Nothobranchius furzeri: one gene and its partner. The main gene of each other region encodes a partner of the protein of the gene in region 2 in a complex. Links are inferred from orthologs where the notes say so. Each region holds a gene or a part of one and is shown on either strand. Other genes may lie near its edges.

What was found.
Region 1: the proteins of kdrl (region 2) and vegfba are in contact, whole or in part, in a crystal structure (PDB 2XAC), measured with the Homo sapiens proteins. The link is inferred for Nothobranchius furzeri from reciprocal best matches to the Homo sapiens genes FLT1 and VEGFB. Residues at the interface, in NP_002010.2 of Homo sapiens: Tyr139, Glu141, Pro143, Phe172, Pro173, Tyr199, Ile202, Gly203, Leu204, Asn219, Leu221, Arg224, Thr226; in NP_003368.1 of Homo sapiens: Ser37, Trp38, Ile39, Tyr42, Thr43, Thr46, Cys47, Gln48, Pro83, Asp84, Asp85, Gly86, Leu87, Cys124, Arg125, Pro126.

What each region holds. Positions count from the first base shown.
Region 1 is NC_091741.1:87,957,951-87,961,787, reverse strand, and holds part of vegfba (vascular endothelial growth factor A), read right to left. Parts: intron 2,051-3,837; coding exon 1,967-2,050; intron 579-1,966; coding exon 330-578; intron 1-329. UniProt on the Homo sapiens protein: Growth factor for endothelial cells. VEGF-B167 binds heparin and neuropilin-1 whereas the binding to neuropilin-1 of VEGF-B186 is regulated by proteolysis.
Region 2 is NC_091741.1:84,303,377-84,307,722, forward strand, and holds the start of kdrl (vascular endothelial growth factor receptor kdr-like), read left to right. Parts: upstream 1-1,331; 5' UTR 1,332-1,545; coding exon 1,546-1,603; intron 1,604-4,346. UniProt on the Homo sapiens protein: Tyrosine-protein kinase that acts as a cell-surface receptor for VEGFA, VEGFB and PGF, and plays an essential role in the development of embryonic vasculature, the regulation of angiogenesis, cell survival, cell migration, macrophage function, chemotaxis, and cancer cell invasion.

The sequences.
Region 1 (3,837 bases), about 3.7 Mb from region 2:
ATATAGTTTATCAGCAGAAAATAGCTGATTTGGGGGTGACTTGCTCTTTAATGAACTGCTCTCCAGGATTCTGTATCTAACAGATGTTAAATAACTCATTAAATGTTTCAATATAGGGTTCTTTAATTAAAAGAAGAGTTGTGAAATTATCAAAAGCTCAGAATGCTTTACTAAGTGCATTTTTCTACAAGTAAAAGTTTAGGCAACAACCCAACCGCTTCAAACGCTCTGATTTAATGTCTTTTGTCCTTGTATTTGTATTAATCTCTGTATTTCTGTGTTTTTCTAATAAAAGTGCAATTTCATTTGTTGCCTTTGTGTGAACTGACTTGCAGCGGCGAGGGTTGAGACTCCGGCCTTTCCGGCTGCAGCTCCCAGCTCTGAGGGTGCACCTGCACTGACACAGCGTCACATCCAGGACCCAGTTCCTTCCTTTGCAGGGGTGGCAAGGAGGAGTTGTTGAGGGTGGGAGCGGGGGAGGAAGGGTGGTGGGAGGCAGTGGGGATGACGGTGAGGGAGGGAGGGTGGTGGGAGGGGTCAGTGGAGGGGAAGAGGGAGAAGTCAGAGGAGCATAGGTTCTGGATGGAAAAGAACCAAAAACAAGTATTTAGTTTCAGAATTGATTTACTCACTGGATAACATGACTAAACCAGCTCAGTGGCTTAGTGGTATGAGCCCTGAGACTGGGAGATTGTGGGTTCTAATCCACGATCAGGTCGCACCAAAGACTGGCCTGATGGTGGATCTGAATGATGACAAACTGATGGATTCTTTCAGTTTTACTTTATCACAAGAGGCGCAAGACTGTCATGGACAGTTGATTTCATTCATGCAGAGCTTTGGTATCCATAAATGCAACAATCAGTTAAATAACAGTTGAGATATTTCTGTCTGGACAAACGTGATGCACCTCCTGAGCGGCTATAAATAAAATGTAGGGCTTGTTTGAACACGAACACTGCCTGTCTGAGACAAACCCCAACAAAGCCGTGTGTGGGAGATGTGTGACGAATGTGGGATAATGTTCCTTTAGCTGCTGACTAACTAGCTCCCCTCTCTGTCCGTCTGTCTCTCCGTCTGTTACCATGGCTATATGTTCGCCTTGCTGCCTTTGAGACCTTCAGTTCCACCTCTAGACGCCCTCTGAGGTCTGAGTCTGAGAAAGTGGCCAGCATCAGTCGGTCCATTAACCGGAGCTAGTTCTGCCTCTGTCTTCCTGGGAGGCTGACAGTGTTAATGAAGTTACTTAATGAGGCAGAGAGGGGCCATCTTTGTTCCCGTCTCAGTGACCACGCCTGTCGCTGGCATGGAAAGAGGAGGTGGCGTTTGGGAGCAAATTACACAGATTTCACCCCTGCCAGAGTTTGAATGAAGCCTTTTTGGGGTGATGGATGGGTACGGAGGGACATCACACCCAAACGGAGCCAACCTCTGGCCCCTGGGGGCCGGAAATGACTGACAGTAAAGTGAAGGGGAAGCAGATGAAGAACACTGGAGAGGAAAAGAGCGCTAACCCTTTTATCCTTCTCGGCTCAGGACGTGAGGGTGCAAGTGACCATGTTTTCACACAAATGTAGTGAGAATCATATCATCACATGACAGGAAGTCAGACGGCTGATGATAGCAAGTACTATTCAACAGGCTCAACACTGAGGTGATAACCGTGACTAAGGAGTTTAAGAGTGGATTATGGTGTGTGTGTGTGTGTGTGTGTGCGTGCGTGTGTGTGTGTGTGTGTGTGTGTGTGTGTGTGTGTGTGTGTGTGTGTGTGTGTGTGTGTGTGTGTGTGTGTGTGTGTGTGTGTGTGTGTGTGACCTTGACTGTTGCTGTGGCTGTAATACAAATTGTCCTTCAGTTAAACTGCAGATCAGATAACCCAGTTTTCCTAATCACAACGGTCTCACTGAGCCTGAGAGGATCTGCTAAAACTCTGACATATGTGTTGAGAATGTAACATTTAACTTACGGGGGTCTGACTGTTACAGTTTTCCTCTGTCTGTGCTTCCTGCCCTGCTTTTTCTTCTCCTTTCTCGCTGGCTTTAGGTAGGGCCTGAGAACAGACAAGATGTTGACACATGTGGTCAGAAGTTCACATCCAATGTCTTGCATCAGATTTGACATCTGTCGCAAAAAAGAGCATTCAGACCTAAATCCCAGCAACCAGCGGGTGCTGAATGCATCCCAGAATTCATTTAAATCTAAAGGCAGCACATCATTCTGATGGTTTTCTATTGTTTATTTATTCTTTTATGTCACAAATATGGATTTAAAGGATTCCTTTCCAGTCATTTTGCTTTAGTTAAGCAACTTGACCATGCATTTAGATGTTTGGCTGATTTTGTTGAACAAAAAGAGAGTTGAGAACTGGTGTCAGGAGATTTTAACATAAGAATCAAAATGAATAAGAATAGATTTCAATAGATGAGTAAAAATCACAGCTGGCAGATTTCCCAGTGAGTTTTGTGTGTTAGAGTTAAGAAGAAAAGGGGCCATCAGAAAATATCCTTAAAGTATCCTTACTTTATATTATAACTTTATCTGATTTTAACCTAAATGTTAATGAAAATTTACATACTTTAATACAAATAGATGATGAATCAGAACTAAAATGTGAAAAGTCTGATAAATAATGACTCTGCTGAAGCTGGCAGAAACCAAATGGAGACTCAAGCCAAGGTATGGCTGTATGAGCCAGTGAAAAAAGGGGAGAGTTGTTTTGGTGCTTCATTCCAACTAACAGTGGGACGTAATGAGAGAATAATACATTAAAGAGTGAATTAAATAGTCTCACGTGGGATTAAAAAGAAAACCGAACCACAAAACTTTATAATAAATTAAGTGAAAAACTGTTTTACATGTGGTTCAAATCTGGGTTTTCACAACAAGCGCTGTGTGATTTATTTTACCTCCACCCTCCTGGTTTCTTGCAAAAAAGATTGCTGATGGAGAAATTATACTTTATAAAGAACACCTGAATATTTATCGCAGAACGTTAGGATAGCTGAGATTAAACCTATCTTTTGAGAAGGACAAGGTTGTGTCAAAAATATAGAAAAGCCTCCATTCAATGAGAAATCTTTAATTTTTTAATAAAAAATTGTTTGAAGGTACATTTTCTTGGATGAATAATATATGATTAACCCAGATTAATTCTTTACAATACCTCTGATTAATTGGATTAATTTTTGAGTCCCACCCCTAAAAAACTAACCACATTATATTTTGTGAACCGTTTTTGTTAAAGAAGTGGATCACTCGTTTAATCAATACATTTGCAGTGGTCTTATAGTAGCATTGAATGCCTTGTAAGTCGTTCTCAACGGGAAAGAAATGTACACCATTTCTTGGACCTAAAAGTTGCCCACATCACAGCTGAGCTTCAGCTGAGGTTTTGGAGACTTTTATCTTGATAACTGGACATCTCACAACAGACTGGATAACAGCAACACTACTCTACCACTGACTTGCCACTAGGATGGCTTAGCTCCACAAATAACTCAAGCCTGGAGGAGCTCCTGCTATGTGTTGGTGTTGCTAATGATAATGGTTAGCTTAAACTAGCCAAGATGTCTGCTGCTGATTCCCAGACGCTAAAATAACAACACGTTCCAGTCCTGAGTCAAGATTGTTGAGTCCATGAATTCTGTAAATTCACAGTGTGATGTAGATCTGTCAGGCTTTTCTAATCCTATAGTTTCACCATCTATTTTCTATCAGAAGCTAATGCAGGAGATAGGTATAGGAGTCTGTTTTAATGTTCAGCCTGAATGAAAAACTCAGAGTGACTGATCATAATGAGAATTAACATTTTCAGTCAACCACACCTTTAACACTGCC
Region 2 (4,346 bases):
CGGAGTAGACCCGCTGCTCCTCCACATGAAGAGGAGCTAGTTGAGGTGGCTCGGGCATCTGGTCAGGATGCCTCCTGGACGACTCCCTGGTGAGGTTTTCTGGGCACGTCCAACTGGGAGGAGTCCTAAAGCAAGACCCAGGACACCCTGGAGGGACCATGTCTCTCACCTGGCCTGGAAACTCCTTGGGACTCCCGCGGAGGAGCTGGCCCAAGTAGCTGGGGAGAGGGAAGTCTGGGCCTCTCAGCTAAGGCTGGTGCCCCCGCAACCCGACTCTGGATAAGCGTTTGAAAATGGATGGATGGATGGACATTTTAAAGAAAACATGGAAAATGTATTAAAGGGTCAAACACTAATTCATTTAATTTTCGTTGAAAATAAAGTTGAGCAAAATGCATTTATGAAATAAAAATTATGAATCATTTATTCCTAATCAAAACCTGATTAACTTGTGTATCAGTTTTTGACTGATTGACTGACTGATTAACAGTAATTAAGTCATATTTAATATTATGATGTGCACTGATATCATCTATTTGTGTTTGACTGATATGTTTTCCCCCATGTGTAAAACAGCTGGGAGAAAAAAAACATCTGTTCTCTTCTGAGTGAAAATCATGTGTAAAACTGTGTTTATTTCACTATTGTACTCTGCTAAAACTTTTAAAACTGTAATATTTTTCTAAATAAAATTCATCCTTTTTGTTGCCTTATTTTAAATGTGTGCACCAAGGTCTAATAAATCATTAACTAGTAACATTTTACTAATGTAATCTTGAAAAAAAAATGAAAATGAACTTTAATTATAGCTTACACATTATTATTGCTTCTTACAACGTGACACCCTCGATTTATAAGATCAATGATTTTAGAGCTTTTTGTCATCAGTATTTGAATAATTATCTACTTCCGGTCCTCTTATTGATAAGTATGTTTTATATAAATATGTCCACGCTGATTTTTTTTTTAATCCAGAAGTGTCCAGTTCGGGGTGTCCTCCCAGTAAAGTGACGTGGCGTCCTTCCTCTGTCTTTATAAAACACGCGTCTCACGACCGGACTGAAAGTGCTGCACAGGAGCGAGAAGAGAGGCGCGCGTAAAAGCCAGGCACTGATTGATCCTTCCTTTCTAGTATCCCTCCGCTCACACACAAACGAAGAACTAAACTAAAATGTTGTAATTGTTCATGTTTCATCTCGTGGACACTTCCTGTTATTACTGAATTTGGTTGCACCTGCTGCTCGCTGGCACATCCGCCTCCTCTTCGCTGGAGCCGGTCTGAGCTGGAGAGTTCCCCCGCGTAACGCGTCATGGGACACTGGAGAACCACCGCAGCGCTCTGCTTGCACACCTGAAGCTTTTGTGGATTTATAGGACACGTTTTAAAAGACAACCAACATTATTTTTAAATGAACTCACACTGAAGGGAGACTTTGGTTTTACCGGAACTTAAAAAACAAAAACAAAAACAAAAACAAAAAAAAACTGATAGGAATTTTATCTCAACACTTTGACCTCGGTTAGGATTTTGGTGAAGTTGGCAGAATGACCTCGTTCATCTGCTTCATGATGATCGTCTCCTGCTGCTCTACATTCACAGCTGGTAAGAAATCAATTAGACCTTTTATTTGTGAATTTTTATTGGTACGCATGTCTGAAAATGACACAGTTGAATGAAATCGTCTCAGTGAATGAATTACCTCATACTTTTGTTGTAGTCAGAATTTTTTTTTTATTCTGAAGATAATATTGATTCTTCGGTTTGTAACTGATGCCTGAAGGTTTTTATATTGTTTGAACGTCCTGGACCTGCGGCTCTCACACACACCACTAGAGGTTGTCGTGTCTCTTTGAAGTTATTCTTAAAAAAAAAACTCAATGTATATAAAACTAAAACTTAATAAAAATTCTGATTCGTCTTGGTTTTGACTTTGATCTGATCAGGTTTTCCTCGGGTTTCTTCAAATTAAGTATTTATTGCTGTTTCTTTTAATAGATGACATGTTTATTCCAGCAATTGTTGGAAGATAAAACACTGGAGGAAAAATGCTTCATCTGACAGGAGAATCACCCTCATTGTTCCCGTGTTCAAGTCCAGCAAAACAAAGCAGAGAGTAGAAAACATAGATGTTCCTCCACCTTGTGCCAGGTCCACTGTACCACTGAGATACACACCGTAGCTTCCTCACTGCTTCCAAATAAACAGCCCATCCAAACAAAGGAAAGACTGTTCACATTCCACACACACACACACACACACACACACACACACACACACACACACACACACTTAGAGTGTATGAAGCTTTGTTTGCAGTGTTTTTAAGCAGATTTCCTTCACTGTCCACGCACAAAGCGTGGGAAAGACGCCCAGAGGAAGCGGATGCAAGGACAAGAAGCAGCCTGGAATTGTTCTGGCCAGTAGAGGTCACGGAAATGTGACACGCTACCTGAGCAAAGATTTCTTCCCGAAGCTTCTTGAGCTGATTTGCACTTATCTCAAACCTCACACACCAGACAATAGCAAGGAGGAAAGTGGGGCATTGTGTCTGCAAATAAACCTCTGACTGCTAGAGCCATTAGTTATCTTATGACGGGTTAGCTGGTAGTGCTGATATGTGTAGCAGGTTTGGAAAAAAACCCACAGATATGTAAAAAAGAAAATGATTAAATAAAATAGCTTCTTAAGGAACTAATTAATGAGACAAAGCAGAAAAACCTCATTTAAAGGATAACCTTATGTAGAACAGGTCAAGTGTGCATGTCTGTGACCTTTTGACACCAAATCAAACAAATCAGAATGACTCCAGAAGTTTATTGCAGCATGTTTGATGTGATGAAGTTCTTCAAGTGAATTTACTGGTTGTAAACTGGTCAAATTAAAGAGATGGGTTTGTCTCTGATATGTTTAATATTGTGATATTCAAGTGAGAATTTGGAAAACGAAGATTTCCTTCTACTTTGCGTGGTAGGGTTGATCCTTTAAAACTGCGGTTCTTAAACGTTTCTCCACGCGGACCCCCTTGCTTGTGTTCAAGACGGGCCAGGGCCTCCCCAGCCACAACTCTTACCCACATTAAAAGTGATTCATGACAAACTTTAAACAGACATACACAGTTATAACTCTTATACAGAGTCTTAATTGTACTATTGACTGTGTTATTGCTATTTTATTAATATAATTTTTACAAAAATAATTTTTATAACCATGCAACCTCAGTAAAGGCAATCTTGCGGTGGTGACCTCTTTGGGGGGTCAAGGACTAAGTTGGGAACCACTAATTTAAAATACTGTCAAGGTCATTTTGAAAGTCTTTGATTTAGAACAGGTGGATGCTGGGTTTCTTTTATGCTTTGAAAAGTTTATTTTTCCTCTTTGGACACTTGAGAAATGCTGTAAAACTGGAGTGATGGGCTCAGCCAAATGCGGTGGGAGACTCTTATCTCGCTGGTTTTATGCTTGAGTCCTACAGGCAGCCCCGAACAAAAAACAAATCAGTCTCATTAAGTATAAGATTTTGTAGTTTTTTCCATCCTTTTAAGATCATTGCAGCATATGATCCAAATATCTGGATGCAGCCGTATGATTTCTTTAAATCCTGCATGAGATTTCAATTTCAAGGAGCTTCTGTCTGCCTGAGCATCCTAATTAAACATTATGGAAAGGGAATTTACTGGATTTTGGTACTTTCATGCAGGAGATTCCTGTTTGTTGGCTCTGCTTGACTTTATATAACCTTGCATGGCCACCCATCATGGCCAGATGTTCATTTCATTTGCTTTTTTAAGAGGAGTCTGGGGCATTTTGCCTTTCAAACCTCCAAAGGCTAATATAGGGCTGGTAAAAAAGGTGCTCTCTACAACTGTTGTCTTAACCTTGCAGTTGCCAAAGAGAAGAGGTCCTGCAGGAAGCATCCAGAGCAGTGCTGACTGATTCCTATTATGGCAGGTGGTAGCCAGTTGTCTGTACTTAGCTTTGTTTTCAGATAACAAAGAGAAAGTTGTTTGTTTCATATACGACTCTAGTCTGGGTAGCTGCTGCACTTTGCTGGTAATTTGCGAGTGCTTCCCATCTTTCACTGCAGTCACACAATGCAGACAATGACTCATGCACATTTTCAGCAAACTTTCCACATTTTCAGCCTTTTGTTGTGATACAAATGCAGCAGATCAGTTGTTAGGATTCGACAAGGGAACAATAAAGCTGTCTGGTATTGTTACTTTTGCCCTTATAGTTCCACAAAAAGATTAACCTCCACCCGATTCTGAAGAAGGCTGCACGCTTTTGTTACCAGACAGGAAGTACGGGAACATGAATTATGCTCTCTGCACAAGAGATGGGAATT